Arabidopsis thaliana: one gene and its partner. The protein of the gene in region 2 binds, or shares a complex with, the protein of the main gene of each other region. Each region holds a gene or a part of one and is shown on either strand. Other genes may lie near its edges. The genes, in order: AT3G24880 and AT4G37280.

Region 1 (17,325 bases), on a different chromosome or scaffold from region 2:
CCAAACGAGAGATGATGAATCAAATAAGTACAACAACAAAAATCGAATCCATCAATAGAAACAGAACGAATCCATCAATACACACGTGAATGTCACTGGTGGAGATTGAAAATGAGCAAATAGATCCAGTGAAATCGATTGCAATACGAACACAAAATGGTACATCTACGTCTACCAAATAGATCGAAACTCAATTTTACGCGAATCCAGGCACAAAGAGAACGTGTTCCGATTAAGAAGAGAGACTCACTGAAGCCATTATGGACGAGGTAATTGAATTCGTGTGACCGTCGCAATTGTATGTGAACTTGTTTGCTTGTTATTCGAAGAAGGAAAGCTTCGTTCTAGTGGATCGCACTGCGCAGTGACGGAAGTGAAATTCTTTCTTCAACTCAATATTTTACTTTTGTCAATTATTTTTTTTTTGTCACAAGTGTCTTATTAATGTTACAAAGCCAAGTGAACAGACCCAATTATACATAGCCAAAGAAACAAGCCTACAATTTAAAAAACAAACATAACCCATAAAACAACAAAAGCCCAAAGCCCAAATAAATTCCTTTGCCAGAAGGAAAAGTGACGTGAACAGCGCAAAGAGCACGTGGCAAGTCGAAAAGAGATGGAAGACACGTGGGAAGTTGAAGAGGAGAGAATTTCCGATCACCGGAAAGTAGAGGTGACACCGGAATCTTCATTCCAAGCAGAAAATGTCCAGAATCTTATTCATCTTCTTCGCCCGAAGAATTAGAGGCGAAATTCCAATTGAGTGTTGATGAAATTATGACTCCACTTGATGAAAATCTGAAACCTTCTTCATCTTCTTCTTCAAAACTTTTCAATCGGAAAGGAAAATTTATTTTTTTAGAACTTGCTTACATCAACCCAAAACCGGACAAAAGCCGGGACATAAGCCATCCGAATCTCTCGAAGACGAATCGATGGAGACGAAGCCAGCCACCGTTGCGGAAGAAGCCAATCGATGCTGGAAGTTTGCCGGCCAACGGTGCATAACAGAGCCACCGATGCCAGAAGAAAAGTTTTGACTGCTTAATAAGCCAGTGAAACGCCCCATGAAATTGCAACAGAAGTTTTTATAAAAACTCTTGCCGACGAAATCATATCGAAAACTTTTCTTTCTCTCTGAAAAATAAAGGAGAGAGAAGAGAGAGAGAAAAGTTCTCAGTCAAAAATATACATAATATATGTCAATTATTTTTAGTTTTTGCACCCCTTTCATTTTTCTATTGTATTTTATGCATGGTTATTAAATTTTTTCAATTCTTTCCATTTTGTTAATTATATATGAATTTTCATTTTTGGTTTTCTTCCTAACTCTATATTAAATTATTTCCTAATATATAATGTTTTGACTTTTTTCCTAACTCTATATAATGCGAATTTAGATAGACATAAAAGTTTATTAAGTGTAAACTAATCTATACATTTTGGTAAATAAATATTTTAGAAATTAAAAATAATATCATCATACGATTTTATCACCAGTATTAGAAGAAAATAAAATAGAATAGGATAAAACTACATGCATGTATACATATGTGATTACTCATGTATTTTACACAAAGAGTAAAGCATTTCTAAAAATTACATATATTTTTGCTGAAAAACTATTTATATAATTCACGAAATCTACAACAATCATGAAAATATTCTTAGTTTTATTTTATTTATTTTAAAAAAACCATAGTAATACATAAAATGATTTTCTTTTTAAGATTAACGGTTTTCCCACGGTCACAATATCAGTTGGTAATTTGTAGTAGGATCTTGCCTCACCCCTATGGCCCTATTATCTGACGCTGTAACTCGCAAGTGTGCTCATGATCCTCCAATGGAGAAAATCATTCAAGTAAAAGAAAAATGAAACTATCATCTTCTTCATCATTTTCAAATCCTCTTTACCGCATATCTTCTAATCGGTTTAACGATCTTTTGTTAGCTAAAACTATCATCTTCCCCATTATCTGACCACTTTCACTTTGCCTCGTTACCATACCAACTTCGAAATTTGATACTCGACAAACAAATCAAAACAACGCCAATTCTTCTTCGTCAAAGCACGTCGGGCTACGAAATGTCTCCAATAATCAAACGTATCCAATATGTTTGTCCTTATGCTAATTTTATTTATGTGATTTTGAACATATATATGAGAACTTTCAAAGTGATGTGGTTCCAATCCAAATTATACTTAAGAAAAATTATCTAACGTGGACTTCACTTCTCCAAGCCCGAATACAAAGACGACTTCACTTACCTCTAACTTCTTCCAAGTCAATTTGTGCTCCACTATGCAAAACTACTTCCTATCTTTATTTATACCAATCTTCTCTCTCACATTTCTTATATCAAAAACCTTTCTTTCTTACAAAGCTGTTTTCATCATGTCTGAATTGCTTTTCCGTTTGAATTTTCTCTTGCTACTCTTACTCTCTTGTGTCTCCTTGGCTTCAAGCTTCTTCTCTTTTAATGACCCGGTTGTTGGTCTTGGTGCTTGTGGTCCCCACCAGATTCAAGCCTTTACGCAGTTCAAAAACGAGTTTGATACTCATGCTTGCAACCATAGTGACTCCTTGAATGGGGTGTGGTGCGATAACTCCACGGGCGCGGTCATGAAGCTACGACTCAGGGCCTGTCTCAGTGGAACTCTAAAATCTAACAGTAGCCTCTTCCAGTTTCATCAGCTTCGTCACCTTTATCTCTCTTACAACAACTTCACCCCCTCTTCAATCCCTTCCGAGTTTGGAATGCTCAACAAATTAGAGGTTTTGTTTATGTCTACTGGTGGCTTCCTAGGCCAAGTTCCTTCCTCTTTTAGTAACCTAAGCATGCTTTCCGCTTTACTCCTCCACCATAACGAGCTCACTGGTAGTTTATCGTTTGTGCGGAATTTACGCAAGCTCACAATTTTAGATGTTTCTCATAATCACTTTTCTGGAACTCTTAATCCCAACAGTAGCCTCTTTGAGTTGCACAACCTCGCTTACCTTGATCTCGGTTCTAACAACTTCACCTCCTCTTCACTCCCTTATGAATTTGGTAATCTCAACAAACTAGAGTTATTGGATGTTAGCTCTAATAGCTTCTTCGGTCAAGTTCCCCCCACAATTAGTAACCTCACCCAGTTAACCGAGTTGTACCTTCCCTTGAACGACTTCACTGGTAGTCTTCCGCTTGTACAAAATCTAACCAAGCTCTCCATTCTACATCTTTCTGATAATCACTTCTCTGGAACCATCCCTTCTTCTCTCTTCACTATGCCTTTCTTATCCTATCTTGATTTAGGTGGAAACAATCTCAGTGGTTCTATTGAAGTTCCTAACTCCTCTTTGTCGTCAAGGCTAGAGAATTTGAACCTAGGTGAAAACCATTTTGAAGGAAAAATCATAGAGCCTATCTCAAAGCTTATCAACCTCAAAGAGCTCCACCTTTCTTTCCTAAACACAAGCTACCCAATTAATTTGAAACTCTTCTCCTCTCTCAAATATTTGTTGCTCCTCGATCTTTCCGGTGGTTGGATATCTCAGGCTAGTTTAAGTTTGGATTCATACATTCCATCGACCTTGGAAGCATTACTCTTGAAACACTGCAACATCAGTGTTTTCCCAAACATCTTAAAGACCCTTCCGAATTTGGAGTTTATTGCCTTATCAACCAATAAAATCAGTGGGAAAATCCCAGAGTGGTTATGGAGCCTTCCTCGTCTGAGCTCAGTTTTCATTGAAGAAAATTTGTTTACTGGCTTCGAAGGTTCATCAGAAATTTTAGTAAATTCATCTGTACGGATCTTAAATTTGCTGTCAAACAATTTAGAAGGAGCACTTCCACATCTACCGCTCTCTGTCAACTACTTCTCTGCAAGAAACAATAGATACGGAGGCGACATACCTCTTTCAATCTGCAGTAGAAGGTCACTTGTTTTCCTTGATCTAAGCTACAACAACTTCACCGGTCCAATTCCTCCATGTCCAAGTAACTTCTTGATTTTGAATCTCCGGAAGAACAACTTGGAAGGAAGTATTCCAGACACTTATTATGCCGATGCACCTCTACGGTCACTCGACGTTGGCTACAATCGATTAACAGGAAAGCTTCCAAGGTCTCTTCTAAATTGCTCAGCTCTACAGTTTCTAAGTGTGGACCACAACGGAATCAAAGATACATTTCCTTTCTCCCTTAAGGCTTTACCGAAATTGCAAGTCCTTATTCTCCATTCAAACAACTTCTATGGTCCTCTATCTCCTCCTAATCAAGGCTCTCTGGGTTTTCCTGAGCTGCGGATACTTGAGATAGCTGGTAATAAATTCACTGGTAGCTTGCCCCCAGATTTTTTTGAGAATTGGAAAGCATCATCACTCACGATGAATGAAGATCAAGGTCTATATATGGTATATAACAAGGTTGTTTACGGGACCTATTACTTCACCTCTCTGGAAGCTATAGATTTACAATATAAAGGTCTGTCTATGGAGCAAAATAGGGTCCTTAGTTCCTCAGCGACCATTGATTTTTCTGGAAATAGACTTGAAGGAGAAATTCCTGAATCTATTGGTCTCTTAAAGGCACTGATCGCACTCAACTTATCGAACAACGCCTTCACAGGCCATATTCCTCTGTCTTTGGCCAATCTTAAGAAGATCGAGTCACTAGACCTATCAAGTAACCAACTCTCAGGGACAATTCCTAATGGAATAGGGACTCTCTCGTTTTTGGCATACATGAACGTGTCTCACAACCAACTCAACGGTGAAATACCACAAGGAACACAGATAACTGGGCAACCTAAATCGTCATTTGAAGGAAATGCAGGGCTTTGTGGTTTGCCTCTTCAAGAAAGTTGCTTTGGGACTAACGCACCACCAGCACAACATCCTAAAGAAGAAGAAGAAGAGGAAGAAGAAGAGGAACAAGTGTTGAATTGGAAAGGCGTGGGAATAGGGTATGGGGTTGGTGTGTTACTTGGATTGGCAATAGCACAACTCATTGCTTCATACAAACCGGAGTGGCTAGTTTTTCTGTTTCAGAGCAGAAACCATTAAGATCTTTTGGTTATGAATTTGATCGTTTATGTCAAGTTGTTGTTGCCTGTTGGTATTGTATTGAAGTATTTCCTAACGTTTGTTGTATCTTTATCTGATGTTTTTGTTTCTATAAAGTAAGAATGGTGAATTCTCATTAGATGTTGTTTCTTTTCCTAATAAAAAGAGTAGCAGAACTCAAAATTGGGTTTTAGATTACAAGAAACCATATCATCACAAAGACCTAATCTAGATATTTGCAAATCCCAGCAGCTTAACATATTCATACCCTAAAGGATCATAAATCAGTACTAAGTCATCATATTTCATTATCCCTAACAAAATTTATGAAAAAGAGATCGCAAAAACAGAATGAAGAAAGAAGGGCATATACCTCGGGTACAGTTTCCCATCAATTTAGTAGAGCAATGTGGGCATTATAATTCGTCAACGTAATCTTCTTCTTCTTTCAGTTATTAAGACAAACCTAGACGAAGATGTACCAAGGACTATGAGCTTAAACTTCATGTTCTGAAACCACATCTTTCTTGTAATTTTCGTTCCTGGCGTTATGATATCTTCTTGACCCTGTAGATATCAGAACTGGAAATATAAGAGCGTGACAACTAGAAAGGAGATATATTGTATCAAAAAGCTCACATATGAGGGAAAAGGTAAGTTACTATACTTTGAACGAAGGTCCACTAGAATTTTAATTTTCTCACTGCGGTCAAGAGCCTGCAAGTTAATGAATTACATAAACCTCAGTCAGTTTCGCATAAGTGGGAAAAAACAGAGAAAATTCAAGTCATATATTCTCAAATGAATGATATAAAATTATGAGATTGACATGGATATATGATTCAGACCTTCTCAATGTTCTCCATCATAACACCTTTCATTTTGGTCACTAGAGCCTTAACCTTGGCAAGTTTGCTAATCTCCTCGGGATGAGCCAAAAGTACCAAAACTCTTTGTTCAAGCTGTTGGGTTAAGTAGTTGTAGCCATTCCTATCCACCACCATATCTCTTGTTGAAATCCTCTTAAACTCGCTCCAAGAATGCCATTGGAATCTGCCGAAACAACGCAATAGGCTGCACAAAAAGAAAAGAATCTATTGTCATGTCCATGGAAAAATATGAGAGAATTATAAACAAAGGACACTAAATACGAAAAAGAAACTGTATAGTATTGCTCATATATCACCTAAGTTCAAATACAAGAGGCAAAGCAAGCTAAAGACATAACTACATTCAACAGTTTCACTTCCGTTTAAGCAAAGACTCAAGTCAATTACAATTGCCTTCTAAATTCTCACAAACAAGCCAATAATACATAAGCTGAATGGAATCAGAACACCAAGAAACATATATCATGATAAATCCAAACGAGAGATACATCAATAAGTAAAATAAGAAAAGTCTCATCAATCAATGGAAACCTTAACAGAAGAAGAACCAAGTCATAAATATACAAATGAATGAGCAAATGAGCAAAGAGATCCAGTGAAATCAATTGCAACACGAACACGAATATACATCTAAGTCTACCACATAGATCGAAACTAGGCTTTCAAGAGGGCGAAATCGAAACTCATATATACGAAAAACCAGGAAAAAAGAGAACATGTTCGGTTTGAGAAGGGAGAAGGGAGACTCACTGAAGCCATTTTCGACATTTGTTGTAGGAAAATTGGTATCGGAGAAGGAAGCTTCTTCTGGCAACACTGTGCAGTGACGGCAGTAAAATTCCCTTTTTGCAGAAGGCAAAAAAAATTACTTCTTTTTTTCCAACTCGAAATTTTTACTTTGGCTGTAAATAGTAAAATTGTTTTTGAGGAATTTAAAATGGTTACATCATTTACATGTTGAGGTATACTTGAGGAATTTGTGAGGAATTGTTCATGTTTAAGAGTTTTATTTTTGTTTTTAAGTTGTTTCATAAATTAATAAAATTATTATTCTTAGAACTAAACAACGCAATAGGCTGCACAAAAAGAAAAGAATCTATTGTCATGTCCATGGAAAATATGAGAGAAGACTTCCACTAGAAGTTGTTAGTAAGGAAAATTCTAAACAGAAAAAAATAGTTTAAATTTTATTTTAAAAGTAAAAATTAGTAGTTTATTTTATTAGTTTATGCGTTTATATAATATTTCTATTTGATAAAAAATAAGATTAAATGTATTACATTCTTAATATTTTGTAATTTGTAACTTTTTACAAATTAAGTTACTATCTTATGTTTAATAAAATTATTAAATTATAGAAAATTTCAAGTTTAATATTTTTTCATATGTTTTATTTGGTATTAGTCTCTTAGATTTCTAAACCCGAACCCAAAAAACCCGGACTCGATCCGAATTGCCTATGGACAACGTGGGACAAATATAGTTTTACAAAACCAGCGACATGCCTGAGATTTGTAGAGATCCATGTCACACAACATGAAACTGTTATAACTTTATTACTACAAAAAGGCCCGAAACAAGACCAAGCAAACAAAAAGAAAGGCCTTGTTTGGTCAAAATCTCAGGCCCAGAATTCGGAGAGAGAGAGAGAGAGTCGCATACTGCGTCGAGGAGAGAGAGAGAGAGAGAAAGAACGAAAAAAAAACATCAACGAGAACTCAATTTTTTTTTTTATCTCCCGAGAGGGAAACCAAAATTGAAAACGAAAAATAGCTGAATTAGGAATCAATCTCGCAACAAGCAAGCAATTTCCATGGATTCCTTGTTTTGGGAGGAGCTTCTTCTCTTCTACTCTCTGAGAAATTGATTCTCGTCTTTCGATTTGAAAGAAAAGCTTATAAGAATTTGGAAGCCCTAGGAGAGAGAAACTAATTTTAGAATTTGGTGATTTTGCCCGAGTTTTGTGCCCTAGCTTTTTGCCTTCGTTCTGTTCTGTTCTACGTTCAATTTCCAGGTTTAACTCTCTTCTCCTTCACTCTTCTATTCAAACCCTAGAGTCCAGCTTTGCTGGAGCTTCTGTGATTTTGAACCCAGTGCTTCTTTTATCAGGAATGTGAATTGTTTGCTGAAATTGTGTCTCTGTAGTTCTTTGTTTCTACTCGTTTAGCTTGGAAATGCTCAATACTTGATTCAAGAGTTCGTAGGCACGCCATTAAGTAGCTTAAGCTGATCATTTTCTAACTTTGGTTCCTAGTAATCGTTGTTAGTGTTGGATTAAGCTTCTAGAACCTCTCTGCCTTGAGGCAACATTTCATTTCTTTGGTATCTTAGAGTTCTATTCTATCTCTGTTATGCTGGAATACGTAGTTGTGAGCTTCTCGGGGATCAGAATGGTATTGGCGTTAGATATATAGAATTCTCAGTCAAATACTAGATTCTGGGGAGTTATCTTCACTTTGATGTTCCTTTGGATAGTGGCTAGAGTATATGAGTGAATGTTGTTTTACTTTTGACATCTTCTGAGCAGTTACATCTTGAATCTGATAAGCTACTCTATTATATGATATCATATGGTACTGCTTTTTGCATCATGAGAACATACATTTTACCAGTGTTATTTGTAGGTCCAACATTTAGGTGTAACTGATTCTAACTTCTGCAGTATGATCATTCGGAATGCTGTAAATACTGAAAGCTCTTGATATAATTTTTCAGTTAAGCTAGAATTCGAATTGATGGGGTATTCGACGTGGTGATGCATGGAAGCGTTTCAGGATATCTTCTAGTAAATGCTGAGGTTGATTCCATGGGAGGAGTTATCGATAGTGGAGGTGGTATTGGTGTTAAAACATCTCCGCGCCGAACAGCTATTGAGAAGGCTCAAGCGGAGCTAAGGTATTTCAGATTGAGACATCTTGATCTTCTGCAGTGTGTTTAAATGCTCTATAATTTCTACAGCTTTCTATTATTTCCAATGTGTAACAAAGATGCTTATTTCAACAGGCAAGAGTATGATGTTCGTGAGGAAAGGAGGAGAGAATTGGAGTTTCTAGAGAAAGTATGAATACCTATTTCCCTGTTCTATAATTGTTTTGTGTGTGTGTGTGTAAGAACTTATGATGACAAGCCTTTACTCTTCTATCTGCTTCAGGGCGGTAATCCCTTGGATTTCAAGTTTGGTATTGCAACTTCACATAGCGTCCAATCTACATCACTCACAGATCAGCAAGCAGAGCATTTTGTAAACAGGTACATTCGTGTTTGGTGTAGTTCCCACATTAATTTCATGGAATAACTCATCATTATTTGCCCATAACCCCCACAGTGAAGTCAAAGATAGTTTTGCCCTGACTGCCTCACCACATGGTGACTCGGTGGAGAGTAGCGGTAGACCTGGAGTTCCTACAATTTCTGAACCCAATACAGCAGATAATCTTTTACTGTTTGATTCTGAAAACAAGTCAGTTGAAGGGGAAAGAAATTTGAGACATCCTAATAGGCAAAACAGAACTTCTGAGTCAGAACGATCTTCCAAAGCACACACCAACCAGAATACCAAAGAAACAGAAGATTCTGCCATCTTTCGCCCGTATGCTCGGAGGAACAGATCGAAGATAAGTCGGGATCCAGCACGGTCAAGCTCTACGGATTTAGTTCAGAATCGTGGTGGTCTTGCAACGTCTATATCTATTCGCAGAGGATCAGTGGAAGGAAAGGGTTGCATTCCCGAAGCAGCCAATCAAAAGGATATGCATACAACTTCTGTATCTTGTCCAGTATTTGCAAATTCAAATGGTAATATCGTTCCGAAAAATAGAGTTTCCAGCAATTCGCTGAATACTAAGGTGGATGGTGAACCTGTTGTACGAGAGAGTACTGCTGGATCCAAGACTAGTCTATTGAAAGATGAAGCCGACATTTCGTATAGTAAAAGCTCTGCATATTTGCCAGTTGGAGAGTCTGGCCTTGCTGGGGAGAAGGCACAACTAGTTTCGACTGGTGGTTCTCCCAAAGCTGCAACAATAGCTGGCCAGAAAAATAGTTCTACCCAACTGAATGGCCTAAGAGATTCCACGGTAGAGGAAGAAAGCTTAACAAATAGAGGAGCTACAGGGACTAATGGGTTAGAGTCAGAGTCTTCTCATGCGAACAACGTAGAAGTAAATGTAGATAATGAAAGAGATCTTTATAAAGTGGACAAACTTGACTCTGATGAAATCTCTATGCAGAAGACTTTGAGAGTAGAGGGGTTACTAGATCAAACAGTTGGTGAAATGACCAAAACTAAGATTGAAGATGAGACAGGTCAATCTACCACCATTATCAGTGAGTGCATTCCTGAATGTGAAATGCAGATGAAATCGGTTAAAATTGAAAATCAAAGTCACAGAAGTACAGCTGAGATGCAAACTAAGGAGAAAAGTTCCGAGACTGAGAAAAGGCTTCAAGATGGGTTGGTTGTACTCGAAAATGACAGTAAAGTTGGTAGTATTTTATCTGAAAATCCTAGCAGCACGTTGTGCTCTGGAATTCCTCAGGCATCTGTAGACACAAGTTCTTGCACAGTTGGCAATAGTTTATTGTCAGGAACTGACATTGAAGCATTAAAACATCAGCCGAGCTCAGATGCAGTTATGTTAGATACTGTCAAGGAGGACGCTATTCTTGAGGAGGCCCGGATTATACAGGTTTTCTTTTTAATCTTGACTTGATGATTTTTAGCTATCTAGTTTTCGTAGAAGTTATGATGTTATGTACCTACTCATCTTTTTATGTATGACATAATACATTAACAGGCAAAGAAAAAAAGAATTGCCGAATTATCTTGTGGTACTGCACCAGTGGAGGTCCGTGAGAAATCTCAATGGGATTTTGTCCTCGAAGAAATGGCATGGCTGGCAAATGATTTTGCGCAGGTCTGGTCTAGTTAAATTATCTTTCTAACATAAATTCTATATATCTGCATGGAAAATGCTGCATTTTGTGGATTTTTGTTCTGTTTATTTACTACGGCGTCTGGTCATTCGTCTTCTTAAATGAGCTTGTCCACTTTTATGTTACTGGAACATTTTTCCGTGACTGTTCTAATTGCATTCTGTTACCTTTTTTCTTTTCATCTTCTAGGAGCGCCTTTGGAAAATGACTGCTGCCGCACAAATTTGCCATCGAGTTGCTTTGACTTGTCAGTTGAGATTTGAGGAACGAAATCAGCACAGAAAGCTGAAAAAAATAGCTTCAGTCCTATCTAATGCTATCTTACAATTCTGGAGTTCTGTGGAGGCCGAGGTTCCTGGGGAGCTGGAGGAGACGAGCTTGGGAATTGTTAAGGTATTTGACTGTCTGACCTCTTTTATGGTTTTTGATGACAATGATGATCATATGGTTCTTTCCTTTTCTTTTAAATTAGAATTATGCATATATATATACATTCGTTGAATTAAAGTATTGACAACACTGACATTCTGAGAAACCATATTATTATGTTTGTGACTAGACTGCAAAACAACACAATTCTACTGATATTTCCTTCTTATGATTGAGAAGCCTGATCTTTCTTATTTGCTTGAATTGTCTTTGATAATTACCTACAGGAGTCTCTGGTTCTGTCGCTCCTTATGTTATGATTTTTGTAAAATTTAATGGTATCATACTAAATAATACCTTGGTTGTATGCAGGAGACTTGCCAAGAATCTAATTGTTTGAATGGCAGAAGATGTTTAGCTGCGGGTGTCAAGGAATATGCAAGTAGATTTTTGAAGTACAACAACTCTTCCATCTCCTATCATTCAGCTGCACCGTCAACACCTGACAATATGTGCGACCCAGAAATATTGGATATATCTATGGTTGATCAGCTTACAGAAGTATGAATTTCTGAAAAGATTTTCCGCAGCCTCAGTTGAACACTATTGTTGTGGATAGTTCTACATTATTGCTAATTGAGCTTTATTACTGTGCAGGCAAGCCTCTTTTATTCAGTTCCATCTGGTGCAATGGAGGTGTACCTTAAGTCCATTGAGTCGCATCTTACACGTTGTGAGGTATGTGAGATTGTTCTATGCTAGGAGCTCGCATATTGTAACCTTGATGGCGTATATTTTCCTGAGAATATATATCTGTTCTCCAAAGATATTTAACAGTATTTCTCTGTTCCCAGAAGTCTGGAAGTAGCATGCAGGAGGAGGTTGATACATCAGCCTATGATACTGCTGGAGGTATGCACAATTCTGGGTTGTTTGAGCTTCGCGGGTTGGTTAAATTTTTGCTAATTTTTTATCTCTAATTGTAGATATAGGATATAATGTTACTGCGTTCGATGAGGATGAAGGAGAAACAAGTACCTATTATCTTCCGGGAGCTTTCGAGTCTAGCAGATCATTTAATATAAGCCACAAAAAAAGGAAGAATCTGATGAAGTCTCATTCTGCCCGGTCATATGATCTTGGGGACGATTTACCATACGTCAACAACACAGGTGGCTCTAACTCATCAAGTTTGATGGCAAAAAGGCCTGACAGTAATATTAATGCCGGCTCAGTTCCAACAAGGCGAGTGCGCACTGCTTCCAGGCAGAGGGTTGTGAGTCCTTTTGGGTGTGCTACTACTGGGAATTTACCAGTGCCCTCGAAGACAGATGCGTCTAGTGGGGATACTAGTTCTTTCCAGGATGAGTATAGTAGTTTGCATGGTGGATCGGCAGTCCAAAAAGGCACAGAGGTTGAGTCAAGTGTTAACTTTGAAAAGCTGTTACCTTATGACATGGCTGAAACCTCAGGAAGACCTAAAAAGAAAAAGAAGACTCATCAGGTAGTTAGAAATATCAGCATATCTCTTACTATTTGCAGAAAATAGTTGCTATTAGTTTTAGTTGACATTGGATTGCAATTTTCAATTTCATTTGTTGCAGGGCTCCGCATATGACCAAACTTGGCATCTCGATCCGTCAGTCCATGTTGAACAGGTGAATTCATGATAAAATCCTAAGAATCAATTTGAACAAATGTTTAGGGAAAGGCGAGTTTAGGTGGTGTGAATTAATCAATATTATTGCTTGACTAGCTTGATAAAATAATTTTTGCCTCTTGCTTAACTGGTTTGATGCTTGAGTCCTACTCTTTGGATTAAAAACAAAGTTATATTTTGTTTCCATTTTAATCTTGAGGAGGTGACTATTAAACAGTTTCCTATTATTTGAAATGAGAACTTTAAGTTATATAGTTGGTAAATGTTTACCATTTAGTAGTAATTGACTTCTTAGAAAGGATTCTAATTCATCCTTATTTGGGCAGAAGGACCACTGGAAGAAGCGACCAGAGAATAATTTCGATATGAATGGTATTATTTGCAAATTCATTTTTTACTTTGTGGTGCATTGTAGTTCTTCAGCGGCTGGGGGATCCTCAGCCTCTGCCTGTATAAATTAAACAATACTCCTAGAGGATATCATGTTTTAAGCAGCATTTTTACGTACATCTTATCATTAACCACCAATTATACAACTTAAGCAATGATAATCGTTTATAATTCTGTGACATATTTTAATTATTTTTTGTAAGGTCTGTATGGTCCTCATAGTGCAAAGAAGCAAAAGACCACCAAGCAATTGGTAGAGAATAATTTTGATATGGCTATTCCTCACACTGGATCGATTCCTTCTCCGGCTGCTTCCCAGATGAGCAATATGTCCAACCCCAACAAATCTATCAAATTTATTGGAGGTCGTGATAGGGGCAGAAAAATAAAAGGCCTGAAGGTATGCTCTTGAAGGTTTACTAACTCCATTCACTTTGTTTAAAATATCTGTTTTAAACTAGAATTTTGTTTTTCTCAGATTTCTCCTGGTCAGCATGGTTCTGGAAATCCATGGTCACTATTTGAGGATCAGGTTTTTTATTCGTCATCTTTCATTAACATCGATGTACTGTTGGTTGCTTTATGAGTATCTAATTTATCTTTTTCTACCATATAGGCGCTTGTTGTCCTGGTGCATGATATGGGCCCTAACTGGGAGCTCATTAGTGATGCAATGAACAGCACTCTTAAAATTAAGGTAAGTGCCTGTTGTTTTGAAAAATCTTGGGATTCTTTCTTTGGTACCTTTCGAACTGAGTGGCAGAGCTATAATTCAATAGTTTTTTTTTTTCTATTCTAGTGAATGGTTGTGTTGGATATTGTTGTCCAGGTTATTGCTTTCTCGTATCAGTGAACAACTGGTATTTGTTACTGGCTGATTGATTTTTCCACTGTTTCTCCAGTGTATATATCGCAATCCGACTGAGTGCAAGGACCGGCATAAGATTCTGATGGATAAAACTGCTGGTGATGGGGCTGATAGTGCAGAAGATTCAGGGAATTCTCAGTCTTATCCATCCACTTTGCCTGGCATCCCAAAGGTTTTTCTATAGCTCTGAGATGGTGAACAAAGTGTCTTCTATGCTTAAACTAATTTAAATGCCCCGGATATGTCTGTGATATTCAGGGAAGTGCGAGACAGTTGTTTCAACGACTGCAAGGGCCAATGGAGGAAGATACCCTGAAGTCTCATTTTGAGAAGATTTGTTTGATTGGGAAGAAATTACATTATAGAAAGACACAGGTTAGTTCACCTACTACTTTGTTACTGTTTCCAAGCTTGTAACCTAAAACTAGTGGATTTCTTTCTGCATTTTTTGGCTAGTCATAATTCAACTGTTGCCTGGAAATAGGGATAGTTCGTTGTGTATGTACTGTGTAGTATACTAGCATCAAGGAGATGATATGTTGGGTGATGGTAGTCCAAATTTTAGTTTTTGAGTCCCTTGTGGGCAGAATGCTAAATGGTTCTTATAGTGCCAGAGAGTGTTATCGGGGTTTCTGTGGTTTCTTTTGTTCACGGAATTCAGTTTTCAAGTTGCACTGGAGCTGGTAAATGTTTTTGCTTATAGATATGGAATTTGAGAAGATAGGTTTGCTTAATTCAGTTTTTAATTTGCATAAAGTTTATGGTATGAAAGGCATATCTCAATCACTCGACATACCAGGTCTGCATGTTTCTAAGTATAGCTGCAAATCTTGGCTAGGATTTCCTGAAGTCACATTGTAGTTTGAAGTATGAATCTACTAAGGCCCTAAATCTGTTTTCTTGTTGCTGCTTGTGTATTCTTGTGACTGTTTCATCTATCTTCAAGAATGATGGTCGGGATTCCAAGCAAATAGTACCAGTTCACAATTCACAAGTCATGGCTCTCTCTCAAGTATTCCCGAATAATCTGAATGGAGGTGTTCTTACGTAAGTTCTGTTGTTTCCTTGTATTCACATACATCTTGACTTCTACTCTTGCAAATTCTAATATTTTGCTACTCTCCGGATGAAGGCCCCTTGATGTCTGTGACGCATCAACTTCAGGTCAAGATGTATTTTCACTTGAAAATCCAGGTCTTCCAATGTTGAATCAGGGAACGCCAGTGCTCCCTACTTCTGGAGCACATCCATCCACTCCTGGATCATCTGGTGTTGTTCTGAGCAACAATTTGCCAACCACATCTGGCCTACAGAGTGCTTCTGTCAGGTAGAGCTTTTACTGAATGATTTGTTTTGGTGAATGCACACGTCTGTGAATCTCCGCTCAATTTACTTGAGGGTTATTACTTCTTTTGATTGTTGATATATTTTTTTCTTTGTAGGGATGGTAGATTCAATGTTCCTAGAGGGTCTTTGCCACTTGATGAACAACACCGACTACAACAATTTAATCAAACGTTATCTGGTAGAAACCTGCAGCAGCCCTCCTTATCAACTCCTGCAGCTGTCTCAGGATCTGATCGTGGACATCGCATGGTTCCTGGTGGAAATGCTATGGGTGTAAGTGGAATGAACAGGAACACACCCATGTCAAGGCCTGGTTTTCAAGGGATGGCCTCATCAGCAATGCCAAATACTGGTAGTATGCTTTCCTCTGGCATGGTAGAAATTCCAAACACTGGAAATATTCATTCCGGAGGAGGAGCTTCTCAAGGAAACTCCATGATCAGGCCTCGTGAAGCTGTGCAGCATATGATGCGGGTAAGCTACTTGGATTTTGTTTACTGCTACGCTAATTATTACACTTCGTTTTACGATTTCTCACATGTGGGAACTTAACTATCTATTTCTTACTTCACAACCTGGACTTATTTATCTCGCTCTTTGTTTTAGTTTGTAGACGTTCAGCGCTTCTAATTTTTGTCAACCGCTGGTCGATTGTCATTTTGAAACTCGTTGACAACATTACGACCTCTACAGTGGTGATAAAAACTGATATTCATGAGTTTCAGATGCAGGCTGCTCAAGGGAACAGTCCGGGGATCCCAGCTTTCAGTAATTTGAGTTCTGGATTTACCAACCAGACAACTCCTGTTCAGGCGTACCCAGGCCATCTTTCCCAGCAGCATCAGATGTCACCGCAGTCACATGTGCTTGGCAACTCGCATCATCCTCATCTCCAGAGCCCAAGTCAAGCCACTGGGGCACAGCAAGAAGCATTTGCTATCCGTCAAAGACAAATTCACCAGAGGTATTTGCAGCAACAGCAACAGCAACAGCAGTTTCCAGCATCTGGTTCTATGATGCCACATGTACAACAACCTCAGGGCTCTTCTGTTTCTTCTTCTCCACAAAACAGTCCTCAGACTCAACCACCTGTTTCGCCCCAGCCATTATCCATGCCCCCGGTGTCGCCCTCTCCTAATATTAATGCTATGGCACAACAGAAACCTCAAAAATCTCAGTTGGCGCTTCATGGTTTGGGTAGGAGTCCTCAGTCTGGTACTTCTGGAGTGAACAATCAAGCTGGAAAACAAAGGCAGCGACAACTTCAGCAGTCTGCAAGACAGCATCCACACCAGCGGCAGCCAACACAAGGTCAACAGCTGAATAAACAACTGAAGGGGATGGGTAGAGGCAACATGATCCATCAGAACATCACTGTTGATCAGTCACACCTGAATGGCCTTACCATGCCCCAAGGAAACCAGGCTACTGAAAAAGGAGAGATAGCGGTTCCAGTTAGGCCTGATCAGCAGTCTAGTGTGGGGACTACCACGAGCACGAATCTGCAGTCTAAACCATTTGTTTCTCCCTTGTCTTCAAATCATTCACAGCAACTGCCAAAATCATTCCCTGGTGCTTTGCCTCCATCCCCTCAACAACAGATGCAATTACATTCAGACAATAGCATCCAAGGCCAGAGCTCACCTGCGACCCCATGTAATATTTTATCCACCTCTAGCCCGTCAATTGCACCAGCGGTTGCACCTTCTAACCATCAGCATTTGTTGATACACCAAAAGCAGCGCAATCAAGTGCAATCAACAGCTCAGCGAGTTGTTCAACATAATCATCTAGGGAACTCTGAGTTAT
Region 2 (12,050 bases):
CTTTCCGTACGAAGACGCGTTTACAGCATCCTTGATCTGTTTAGATTCATCTTCAGATTTGAAAAGTGAGGTAATGAACTCTATAGAACCAAGTGATGCTTTTCGTAATCTACTCTCTTCAGCTACTGTCTATTACAAAACCAAAAAATGTGGTGAGAGACAACATCATATATATTAAGAATGAAAGCCAGAGATGTACACACATCACCCACAGCTATACACTATAAAATCTGGTAGATAAATGGATATATATAAGAATCTAGTAAATAACTGAGTCTCACCTTAACACCGTTGACAGTAGCAGTAAGGCCTCTACCAGGAAAATATTCGAAGCTTTCAACAAAAATAGAAGGAAGATCCTTACCCACACTGTGATCTACAACAGCTCTGCAGCAAGATGAAATGTGTCAGAAACAGCAGAAAAGACCTATAGTACTCTTCAGTCTCAATCTCTTACCAGACCAAGCATCATTTAAACTAATAAACCAGTGTAAAAACCAGTGTAAAAACCAGAGATAGAGAGCTTCATAGCGTTCAAATTTGCTTTTTCCCCTTCCTTTCATCCGATTGTGGTAATGAACTAGAAATAAGAATAAGTTCTAGATGTAGGACTAAAATTCTTTACGTCAACATATCTCCTGAAATGAATGTACCATCCAACAAGATAACTTATTTCCCATGAGTTATAGACGCGCCACAGTACTAACTATGTGATGATGGGATGCACATAGGTCACAACTTGCATGGTTTTAGAGTTTGTGGTAATTAAGTTTTATACTAGTAATTGATGCTAAACAAGCAATACCTTCCAATAGGATGCGTGGTGCCCTTCTCCATGGCAGCCGCAACTGCAAGAGCTTCTTTTTCACAATTTGGAATGCAGCAAGTTATTACACTTGAATTAGTTCCTCCTTGGTGCCCATAAATGGGTTCAATTGCTTTACAAGTAAGGCCGCCGGTTGTTAAGGTACCAGTTTTGTCAAAAGCAATAGTATGGCAAGACGCAAGAGCATCTAGAACCTGTGCACCTTTCAGCAATATTCCCTATAATAGTTACACACGGTGGGGTTACACACTTACACGTGAAGATACTACCTTTACATAGCAAAAAAAAAGGAAAAAGAAAATAAACCATGTTTTCAACTGGATTTGGACAAAAGGAAAATGATATCAAATAGTTAGTTGAAATATGGTGGTCTTCATAGATAAGACGATGTTGTTGCATATGCACCATTCATTCCTCACCATTGACATTTGATGCACATAAGATTATTTAGCTTATAAAGCTTAATTTGCTACAAGAGAACATATACAAACCAATGCTCAAAAGTGCAATTCTGCAAAACATCACAACGCCAAGAAAGCTAACATACACTTGGTGATCACGTAGAGTACTTGAACAATACCTTTCTTGCACAGGAACTAATAGCAGTAGCATAAGCCAATGGAGCTACGGCCAGAGCACATGGTGATGCGGCCACCATAAGTCCCAATGCTCTGTAAACAGATCCTCTACATGCTGCATCATTAACAAGCAATGAAAGTAAGCCAATCAATTTTCCACTCTTATCAATTGTCCAAATGGTGATATATCTTATTAAACAACAAGAATAGTTTGTCACATCAACAATGATTTATGGTAATGTTAAGAAGGGAGAACTTGATCCTGACATCTTACCTGCGGTGCTGAGAAAAGGCCACTTGAACAAAAATGGACCTAGGAAGGCAATTGCAAGTGACAAAACAACGACAACCTTGCTGTAATTCTCGCCAAACTCATCCAGCCATCTCTGAAGTTTGGGTTTATTAGAATGTGCTTCCTCGGTCAGCTGTACAATCTTGTTAAGCGTCGAATCATTCCATGCCTTTGTAGCCTGATTTAGAAATTCCATGGATTGAGATAAGCATGAGGATTTCAAATAAAGAGACAAGCCAAAGCAATGAGAATAGGATAAAAAATACCTTTACAATCATTCTGCCATCCAAATTTCTTGCACCACCAGGCACTCTATCTCCAGCTTTTGCCTCCAACGGCTTGACTTCCCCAGTCAAGTGCTCAATTGTAATTGTAGCACTACCTTGATAGACTTCGCAATCTACAGGCACAATCTAAATGGAAAAAAAAATTCCATTACTTAACAGCTGCAATTGTAACCCTGCTAAAACTAAACTAATGACATACAGGGTCACATGTTTAAGAAATTCAAGTAATGAAAGCAAATAGAAAAGTTTCACAGACCTCACCAGTTCCAACCAAAACATAGGATCCAACTTCTACGCTGTGCACAGGAACGCTTTTGTATGACAAATCAGATATATTTGGAACATTGCCATTGTGTACTTCGATCAACAATGCAGAATCTGGATTACTCTCTTTCAATTCTTTGACATCCACCATTGATCGACTAGTAAAGAACTCCTCAGCTGCAGAAAAATGACAAGACAAAAGCTCAAACCTCTCCGTCATGATAAACATTAACAATGACATATCCCTAATCCTTATTAAGGTCAAGTTCTAACCAATATGAGCAAGATTGAACATAGCTAGAAGCAATCCTCCTTCCAAAGCATTTCCCATAAACACAGATGCAAAAGCCGCAAGTGCCATCAAGACATGGATGTTCACTTTTCCTCCAGCTATATCCATAAGTGCGTCGAGAGATGCTGAAACCTAACAACATCGATGACCATAAAGCTAAATTACTAAATCATCTGGCTAAATTATAAAACTAGCAAGGAGCTTTATAGAGAAGGCTATAGAAAACCTTACTCCAACAAGAGGAAAACCAACAATCATGAATGCGTTCTGAAGAGACTTAATGTAAGGTTCAGGAGCAAGGTAAGGACAGACGGCGGCAGCGAGGAACATTGCAGCGGCGGAGCAGCAAAGATGAAGATGCTCTCTGAGGTAATTGGCCAATCTAACCCATCCGATAGCTTTAGCGAATCCGAACAACATCTTCTGAGGCTTACTCTCCGCTTTCAATTCCACAGAACAGCATCCGTGTTGATGGTGATGATGATGGTGGTTGTGATGATCTTGCTCGTCATCGTGATGATGATCGTGATGGTGATCTTCGACAGCACGTAGACGAATCGACCGTGGTGGAAGATTAAGGGAAGCAGAGATACGAAGCGGTTTTTGACGGAGAAGAGTTTTAGGTGGAAGAATTGAGAACGAGTTGACTCGAGCGAGTCGGAGAGTGGATAAACCACGACGATAAGGGAATCTAGTAAGAGAGGAAGAACGAGTAAGAGTTGCAGGTTCCATGGTCGACGAATTTGAGCTCAAGCGTCGTTTTTCATGCCACCATTGATTCTGATCTCGCGAACTCTGCGTGTAAGAGTCGTTCGTCTTGGTGAAAAAGATGAAAGAATAATAACAGAGAAGGAGAACCAATGTAATTATTCCGATGACATTAGCCACATAAATAATCTCATCTCATACACTTTTTTATTTTTTCCATTTTTTTTGTTGCCTTCTACCAACCAAGGTTCCATTGTTCCGGATGTTTTATTGACCACTTAAAGAAATTTACATGAACCAAATAGTTAACTTCAAAGGCCTGTAAAATATTTCATATTCAGCTGCAAATCTTACAATTATGAATTCATCAGAAAAATGAAGGAATTCTAAATTACAACAATATTTTTTTCCTGGAGATGTCAGTCGTCTTTTCCTTTGCCTTTACCATCTGAAACCTTATCAGAATCATATGCTGATGGTAGCAAGAAAGTGCTCTGATTCTTCTGAATAAACCTGTAAAGATTTTTTTCCAGAAATTGTGAATTTAACCGTTAAAACCGAGAAATCAAAATGGTAGTGATGAAACAGAGAGATTAGATATATACTTGAGGAAGTCTGATAATGTTTGTTGCATGCGACTCCATGTTTCTTCTTCCATGTTTACATATGAAAAAAGATCTGGCAACTTGACTGCAGATTTTTAAAAAAAGCAAAAATAAAATTTCAGAACATCGAATTTTACTGTCCAAATAAGAACTTAATGAGATTTTACCAAAGAGACGGAGCAAATGCTCGGCGCCATAAACAGTTGAAGGTGAAGTATCATCCACGATTGATTCTTGGTATTGTCGCCTCTCTTTCTTATATAGGAGCATCACTGGCAATGCCTTGTCGAAATAACTCCTTATGCCTTTCAATATTTCAGCGACCGAATCAGTTACCCTGCACAAAAACAGAAACACAAAATTTTGTATCGTTGGATTTCGGAAAAGATTCAAATATATCAAACTCTGTGTTCGAGTAAAAGACTCACATTCCATCCTTCTTGGTTTTGAATTCAAGGTACTTGGACAATATCTCATCGACGTTAGGTGAACGAGGAAGTTTCACAACCTATATAATCATTTGAAGACAGATTACCAAACATCAATTTCCCTTCACTTTGGTATACACAATTCATTCGACTACAAATACACACTTATGTCTCTTAACTTTCAAGTCTAGCTGATTCAATAACAATTCTAATAGTGCTAAAAGTATGTGCACAAAATAGAGAAAATTGATGATACCTTGTCCTTCTGCGCAATATACTCCCAGTCGTCAGTGAGTTGCTTTTTAAGTGATGCGGGAATTTGGATCTTCATTAGCTTCTCCGCCGTTACATTATCCTTCTATAGATTACAAATGAAAACAAAAACCTTATCGATATTAGAAGACCTGAAAAATTGACCCTTTTCGTATGTGTGTATATGCATAACAACACATCAGCCATCTATTGTACTGTAAAATATAATCTTAACAAAGACCTAACAGGTATGAACCAAATACATCTCTAAGTTTTTGCAAGCCTGACCTCATTGCCTGACTCGTGCTTTCGTTTCTTCCCTTTTGCAGCTGCAACAGAAAATGTAATCATCTATACACCAGCTTAAATAATTTAAGTTGCACCCAGTCTACCAAATCATTTCCTTGGAAATTGTTGGGAGAACCCTGAACTACAAAGGGAGCGTAAATTAATATGTTGCCTACCATTGGTCTTGGTGTCATCTTTATCAGCCTTTGTGTCTGCAAGTGCAAGATCAGAAAGAAATAGTTAGTTTCTTAGCCTGGATGACCAAAATATGTATCATGTACTCTCAGCATGGTCAATGTGGAGGCAACAACTCACCTGCAGAGCTTCTAGTTTTTGTCTGAGCGGAACGGCCAGACTTGGTACCTTTTTCAACTCCTTGCTTTTTGTCTAGAGCTTTCTGTTTGACAAGATTCTCCTCGGTATGTTTCAACAATCTATCCGCACTAACCCATTCATCCCAACTGTTGGCAAGACAATCATGTCATGGGTCCCAATCTACTGATTTTGCTACATAAACCAGAATCGACATGAGAGCAGAGAGAGATACTCACTTTTTGTTCCAACCCTGCAGACAAAGATCGCTGTATCACTTATTACTGCAAACCAAAATGAAAATAGCTAGTACATGAAACAGGATAATGAAACTATAATAGCTCAGAAGAAGGAGGCCTCACAAGATAGTGCACAAAGTATTTCCACTCCTTTTTCCGAAGCTCGACCTTTTGAACCTGTAATGGAATGTCAATAATCTATCAGGTCTGCCCACACACTGAAAACACTATGCAATAACAGATTTTTTTCAAAACTATGAAGATTTAGCATAACAACGACACACATTTGATATGAATGAGACTCAATCCAGTGACCTATATAATATATGATTGAAAAAATAAACATGCAAGTAGATTAGCTTGCCCTATTTTCCGAGTAATTTATTGAATTCCTTGCTCCAACGGCAAGTGAATTATTCTTTTGCATCTATTACGACTAAGCATTTATGATCATTCCAATCTAAAAAGCTCTAATGCTACATGAATCCATTACCAAAAAAAGAAAACTCGAATCCAATCTCAATGGGTTCATCTTTCGGATCGTCGTAACTTGAAACCGAAATCTACCAAGAAACCCCTAAGCCAAATCTAGCAGAGAGATCTCAATTCAATGAAACCAGTTAATTCCGTAGTCGGATACAACCAAAACCCACGTGAAATACAAGAATTGCTAAATTAACACGAACAAGATAATCTCTAGAATTCAAATTATGCGAACATCTGACGATGCACAGAGAAAGAGAGAGAGAGAGAGAGGTTTTTTATTTGCCTTGGCTCCGTAGACGCGAGGACCATGGTAAGCGAGAACACGCTCGCCCTCCGAGAAGAGTCTGCCGTCGTTGGACGGTGAGGCGCCACCGCTCGCCGTATCTCCGTCACTCGCCGTCTCTTCCTTCGACGAGCTTCCCATTGTCACCGAAAGCGAGAGCGAGAGGCAAAGATCTTCACATCACAAGGCACCCCTTTAACCGTCTAGATAAATGAATCTACGACAACTGCTGAATGACTGAATCGTTGCGAATAGTTTTTCAATTGAGTCCCTTAACTTTCACAATAGTTCGATTAAATCTCTTAAACCTTTTAAATATACTCGTCGCCCATTTATAAAGCATTGTCTTTTTAAAAAAATTTATGCCTTTATTGGTCGTTGAGCAGTTGGACTCATATTTCACTTTGGACACTGATGTTTATTAACTATTATTACATTCAAATAAATATAAAAAAATTGATTAATACATTTTATTTGTATACTTTTCAAGTAACTTTATTTCACTAACAAAACAATAATCCTAAATATAGAAAAATGAGACAATAATTATTGTTTTTGCCATTCTTCTTCCTATGTATCGATCAGAAACATGAGACATGTATAATATTTTCCACTAATGAAACTGGAACAAAAAAATGAAATAATTTTCTCGACCTAGATGGGTATGGGCACTTTAACCGGCCCGGTTTGAACTAAAGATTGAAACATTAGTGGCCCGGTCCGCTTGGGCTTGGACCTGAGTGCTTAACAAATCGAAACGTATCCTTCCTGTCCACGACCTTATGACCCTCGCCTGGACTTGGACCTGAGTCTTTGATCGAACCAAGTGATAAGCCATCGAATAAACTAGCCACGAACTTCTCCTCGGTCTTTGTTAGACCAAGCGGACGACTCTCGACAAGAACCGAACCAATCAACATGAAGAACAGAATCGAACTCAGAACGTTTTTGTTCATCATCATGTTTAAGAACAATTTAACTCTGTTTATAAAAAATATGGTTTTCTTTCTCTTTGGCAGATAATGAATTTTGTTGTGAGTGTTTTGTGAGTTGAGAATGTGACTATATAGTAGTGTTCGTGGAGATGCAAAGTTTGAATTTTTATTCTTGACTAAGTTTGAATTGAAAAGAATGTGATCATTGAAATTAGTTAGTATGCTGCTTCCTGGGAAAATACCAACTTGTTTCTTGAGCATTCAATTTTGTGTGTATTTATTGAACACAAAATAGTGAAAGCCATCAATGAAGAAAAGGATAAGGAATTGAATATTAGAAATAAAGAATTTAATATCGTAGACCAAACATGAAGTTTCATTGTTTGGAGCAGACGGCAGCTAAATATTAAGGTAGATTTGTAGTTGTGTAGACCAAAAATAATGCTTGAATTTCAAACTCGCAACGTATATAAAGTCACACTCACATATATCGTTAGCCGGTTTAGATTTGGTTTTCGTAAGTATATTATGGTATATTGTTGGTTTCAGATTGAATTTGTTTACTTTATTTTACTTTACTAGAAAATGTACATCTCTAGCTTTGGTTTCGTTTCAACTTTCAGCCAAATTTTTTATATATAGAAAATAAATTTAAAATCAGATAACTTGAATTTTTTTTAAAAATTTGGTTAGGGTTTCTGGTTCGGTTAAACCAGCTGATTTAAGGAGTGACATAAGCTAAATTGACTATGAGTCGGATCTCATGTGTTTGTTTTATAATATTGTTAGATACACCAAACCTAATCATCAATGCTTCAAAAGTTCAAACACTTTGGTGTTATTTTTCTTGCACGACCAAAAATAGTTCCTTCTCACGTGATTTTTCTTGCAAAAAACATTGAACAACCAAACTTTATACTACTCAAAATTCAACATCCAAATTTTAGTTTTTGTTAGGTAGAAATAAGAAATCTATCCTATGAAAAGACAAAACCATTAATTTTTATTTCAACTCTTGCTGCTATATGACGTTGAATTATGATAATTTTTCCGTCTCAAGTTCATAAACGATTTTTCAAACAGAGTTGTGATGAAATTTATTTATTTTCTAAAAAAAAAGGAAGATTGATAGTTTTGAAGAATATATTATTGATGGTAGCCAAATAATTTACCGGAATAAAGTGTAATATCATCTCAAACTGTTCCTTTTTATAGCAAAATCGCTCCTTTTTATCCGCAGTTAGAGTATAAGACAAAGAAACCAAATTCCAGAGCATCAGGAAACTCTTTCCCATATTTTAAGGTGAAATCACTATTTTGAAATTATTAACTTAGTTTAATAACCAATTATTGAATAATACAAACAAAGTACTTAAAACCCGGTTTAATGTTTTATTTCGATTTTATAAATATTGGTTTGGCCAAAATAATATAGTTTATAAGTGGCGTAAGACCACGCCAGAATAATACAAGAAGAAAAAATGTTTAACTATGTATAGTTCGGACGTGGTAGTCCATTAATAATGGAATCAAATTCTGCATTAATAAATTCATTATCAAGATTCCAGTCTTTTGTATTCCTTCCAATTACATGAAATTAATATAATTCTTGAACAAATATCTTTGGACAAAAGAATTTCAATTATTTACTTAAATCTATATAAAAGCAAATCTTTAATCCATTCAAATAGCAGATATGTATCTCTAGGGATTAAGGTAGTATACAACTATAACATCTCAAAAGAACCAAATTGTGACTGCACAATGCAATATCATAATTTGTATATCGAAAACATGATATGTTCACATGGTTCGTCCATAAACAGTACTTATATTCATATTTGACCACTAAATATTTCACATTAAAAAATCGAAATTAGAAATAATTATGGATTTAGTTCTGCAAACTCGATTTTTTTTAAAAAAGATTCGAAGATGCAAGATTGATAATGAAATAAAATTGAGGGTACATCATACATGTGGGGGAAGTGACGTTTAAAAACAAAAAGGAAAAAGAGGAAGAAGATAGATGCCAATATTGTTATCATGACAACTATGAAGCAGAGTTAGAGTCCGTCCGTCCATACAAGTATTTTGTGTGAGTACCACCGAATTTGTCTGTCTATGTTATCTCCCTTCTTTTTCTCATGCCCACGAACCAACATGACAATTATGTTTTGTTCGTTTTTTGAAAAATTCTAGAGTTTTCATTTATTAATTATCGTTGAGTTATGATTTAGTATGATTTTGGTTTAAAAATTCCACTTCTTAGGACTCATTGTTTGATCTTTGTGTTTCTTATTTATTTCTTTGCACAGTACTAAAAATCATGCATTAGTTCTTACCATTCACAAATCTTCAAAACTTAATTAGAAAAAGAAAAAAAAAAATCGATCAATACAATGAAAACGTTCTCCTATGCACTATGCAGAACAAGTCTCGAGGATTCGTATGGTCAAATTTATTCCGATCAAATTATTCGCGAAAGTGTGAGAAACAAATACGTACTTTATTTCTCTTACCTCCTCCTACGTCACTTCTACGCATTCGTGCCCTACCTTCATCAGTACTCTTCCAGTTTCTAAAGGTTAAAACCGAGTCGATGATCCACGACCGTAGAGTTAAATCAAGTAATCAACTTAAGTCATTGTAATAAGAAAGCCTCCGCTCAAAAAAAATTCTACAATATTAGTTTGACATAAAACTTCAAATGATAGAAATATGAAATCAAATAGTTGTAGACTTGTAGTCTAGTACTTTCATTTGGCTCATTTGGCAATTGCAAAGTTTACGTGGTGATTACTAAACTCCTTGTCGGTATAAATGTTTTTGATCATGAAACCATATACCGAAAATATTGGTATATATAGTCCTGCCTAACTCCACTAACAAAAAGTCAGGATTTTTAAATTACCAACTACAACTTGAATTGTCATTTGGAAGATTGATTCATTGGAATATTGTGTATCTTAAGCCATAAACAAATCCCATAATTTAATAGTGTGCCAGAATTTTGTATTCATATTTTAAGCAGTAAAAACAAAAACAAAATACATATATATATTCTCAATCAAACTATAATACTTTAGATTTAAAGCTATTAAGAAAAACATTTAGCTAGTCAAAAAAAACAATTAACACTTTTCGAAAGGTCCATTTCCAAGGAAGCTAGAGACCGTCCTTTTTTACTAATTCGCCTGCACCATCCCCTTGTATCGAGGGTCTAATTCTACACCTTATTCCATTTTATATTCCCTAACAATTTTTTTAGTTTTTTTTTTTATATTACTTTAATTCTAATGAAAACTCCTATCTTCCTTCCTCTCCATCCTTTTTCATCTACCTTTGAATCTTTTGACACTTGTATATAAAGCTTTACTTCCTCCTTTGTTACTCCTTTTCTATCAATCACCAAAACACATTCATTGTCTTAAACCCTAAACCTCAAGAACCGAACAACCACACCAAAAAATGAGACCGGTTGGCTTGATCTTTACGGTCATGTTCTTGGTCTCGGCCTTTTCGGAATCAAGAACCGCGGATTGCAGAGTTCTCCTTGGTGGTTCGACGGAGGAAATCGATCAATCTAAAATTCATGGGGTCGATTTACGAAGTGAAGACTTATTAGGGGTCGTGATACATGGTTATAAGAAGCTAAGGTGGCTCTCATCGGCCGGGGAGAGGATGCATACAATGGCTTCAGGACCGAGCAGGAGAGGTGCTGGTCACTAAAATACGAACCCAAACAAAACATTATACTTCGATATTTGTTTAGCTCAGGTCATAGAATCATATTTTTCATTTTTTATAGATTATTATATTTATTCAGTCGCTAAAGATCCATGTAAAGTTTAGAAGGGTGATATTCTTTGATCATACAATAGTCGGTTTCCTTCTCATAAACACCAATTTATAGTACGTGCCCATTAATCGATATTTATTTTAGTTTAACAAATTTCAATTTTGAGATCTACGTTAAGCCATCAACCATGCAAATTGTATATGAGTCAATAATATAGATTGAGGAGATATGTTATCGGCCATTCTGGTGCAACTTAAATGATATACAGCCACATGATTATCTCTTTTCCTTTTTGGTAAGGTTGATACCACATGATTAATTATAAAGAAGACATTGATTAGTTCATGTTTTACCACATAATTGGAATTAAAAGTGGTCGCAAATTATAATCAAACGTGGTCGCAAATCGAATTTCGATGAGATGCAAACGTTTTTTCAGCTGTACCTTTTAATTCTTTTCTTATTTGTTCGAAATGTTGGCCTTTGGGGAATTAAAAGGACATTTCAAAAATAATTTATTGTCTTTCCATAGGAGCCGGAAATGGAAAAGCTTCAATCTTCATGCACACTATGTTTTGAGTGGACCCAATTTCGACAATCTTTTTTTAAATGAAGAAGATAAAAGTTGTTTTTTTTGGTAATAATGTCGAGTATTTATAGTTTTATACCATGTTTAGTGAGTATATTGCAGTTTCACGTTATGAAATTTGTAATGAGAAAATTAAAGGACTAAAAAGGCCCACTAAAAGCCCATATACATTTTCTTTTAAACACAACTAAAAACCAGTGAGCAAATCCTTTCTCTTTTTGCATGTGTGTGTTGTAAAGCAGTGGACAGAGACGACGATGAGTACGATGAAGCCAAGCCGGAGCGACGAAATATCCGACCCGGAACAGCAGATCAAGAACGCGAACCAGATCAGAGCTGATTTCGATTCCTTGGCTCCCAAACGACCCACTAAACCCACTCGAAGCGAACCGGGATTTCCTGGATCTTTCTCTGCTTCCGACAAAATCACCGACCATCCTGAAGCTGACAAATTCCAATCTCTCCAGTCACAAACTCATGTTCGGTTATCTCTAAAACTCGCTCTTTTCTCTTCACATAAACCAACATCTTTCGTTAAATTTGAGATTTTGGTTTTTCAGGGTAAAGTTCTAGGTGAGGGAGAT

What was found.
Region 1: AT4G37280 (region 2) and AT3G24880 share a complex: the UniProt entries of both Arabidopsis thaliana proteins name them as parts of the nuA4 histone acetyltransferase complex.

Annotation. Positions count from the first base shown.
Region 1 is NC_003074.8:9,086,915-9,104,239, reverse strand, and holds the start of AT3G24880 (Helicase/SANT-associated, DNA binding protein), read left to right. Parts: upstream 1-8,702; coding exon 8,703-8,842; intron 8,843-8,950; coding exon 8,951-9,005; intron 9,006-9,098; coding exon 9,099-9,196; intron 9,197-9,272; coding exon 9,273-10,635; intron 10,636-10,743; coding exon 10,744-10,863; intron 10,864-11,071; coding exon 11,072-11,275; intron 11,276-11,623; coding exon 11,624-11,812; intron 11,813-11,908; coding exon 11,909-11,989; intron 11,990-12,105; coding exon 12,106-12,163; intron 12,164-12,237; coding exon 12,238-12,755; intron 12,756-12,855; coding exon 12,856-12,909; intron 12,910-13,237; coding exon 13,238-13,283; intron 13,284-13,504; coding exon 13,505-13,701; intron 13,702-13,779; coding exon 13,780-13,833; intron 13,834-13,917; coding exon 13,918-13,998; intron 13,999-14,203; coding exon 14,204-14,341; intron 14,342-14,427; coding exon 14,428-14,544; intron 14,545-14,785; coding exon 14,786-14,852; intron 14,853-14,941; coding exon 14,942-15,018; intron 15,019-15,115; coding exon 15,116-15,216; and 6 more. Other genes in the region: AT3G24929 (uncharacterized protein), read right to left, coding at 251-259; RLP39 (receptor like protein 39), read left to right, coding at 2,310-5,057; VAMP728 (vesicle-associated membrane protein 728), read right to left, coding at 5,484-5,624, 5,697-5,774, 5,906-6,061. UniProt on the Arabidopsis thaliana protein: Component of the NuA4 histone acetyltransferase complex which is involved in transcriptional activation of selected genes principally by acetylation of nucleosomal histone H4 and H2A.
Region 2 is NC_003075.7:17,543,082-17,555,131, forward strand, and holds AT4G37280 (MRG family protein), read right to left. Parts: upstream 6,479-12,050; 5' UTR 6,282-6,478; coding exon 6,141-6,281; intron 5,549-6,140; coding exon 5,495-5,548; intron 5,386-5,494; coding exon 5,372-5,385; intron 5,282-5,371; coding exon 5,136-5,281; intron 5,033-5,135; coding exon 4,997-5,032; intron 4,862-4,996; coding exon 4,821-4,861; intron 4,639-4,820; coding exon 4,537-4,638; intron 4,361-4,536; coding exon 4,281-4,360; intron 4,190-4,280; coding exon 4,020-4,189; intron 3,938-4,019; coding exon 3,853-3,937; intron 3,761-3,852; coding exon 3,667-3,760; 3' UTR 3,496-3,666; downstream 1-3,495. Other genes in the region: HMA1 (heavy metal atpase 1), read right to left, coding at 1-129, 282-387, 806-1,044, 1,407-1,519, 1,679-1,874, 1,963-2,109, 2,240-2,424, 2,521-2,671 and 1 more; AT4G37290 (uncharacterized protein), read right to left, coding at 6,848-7,102; AT4G37295 (uncharacterized protein), read left to right, coding at 10,547-10,807; MEE59 (maternal effect embryo arrest 59), read left to right, coding at 11,724-11,945, 12,027-12,050. UniProt on the Arabidopsis thaliana protein: Chromatin remodeling factor. Acts as a 'reader' protein by binding to H3K36me3 and H3K36me3 to control histone H4 acetylation. Increases the transcriptional levels of the flowering time genes FLC and FT.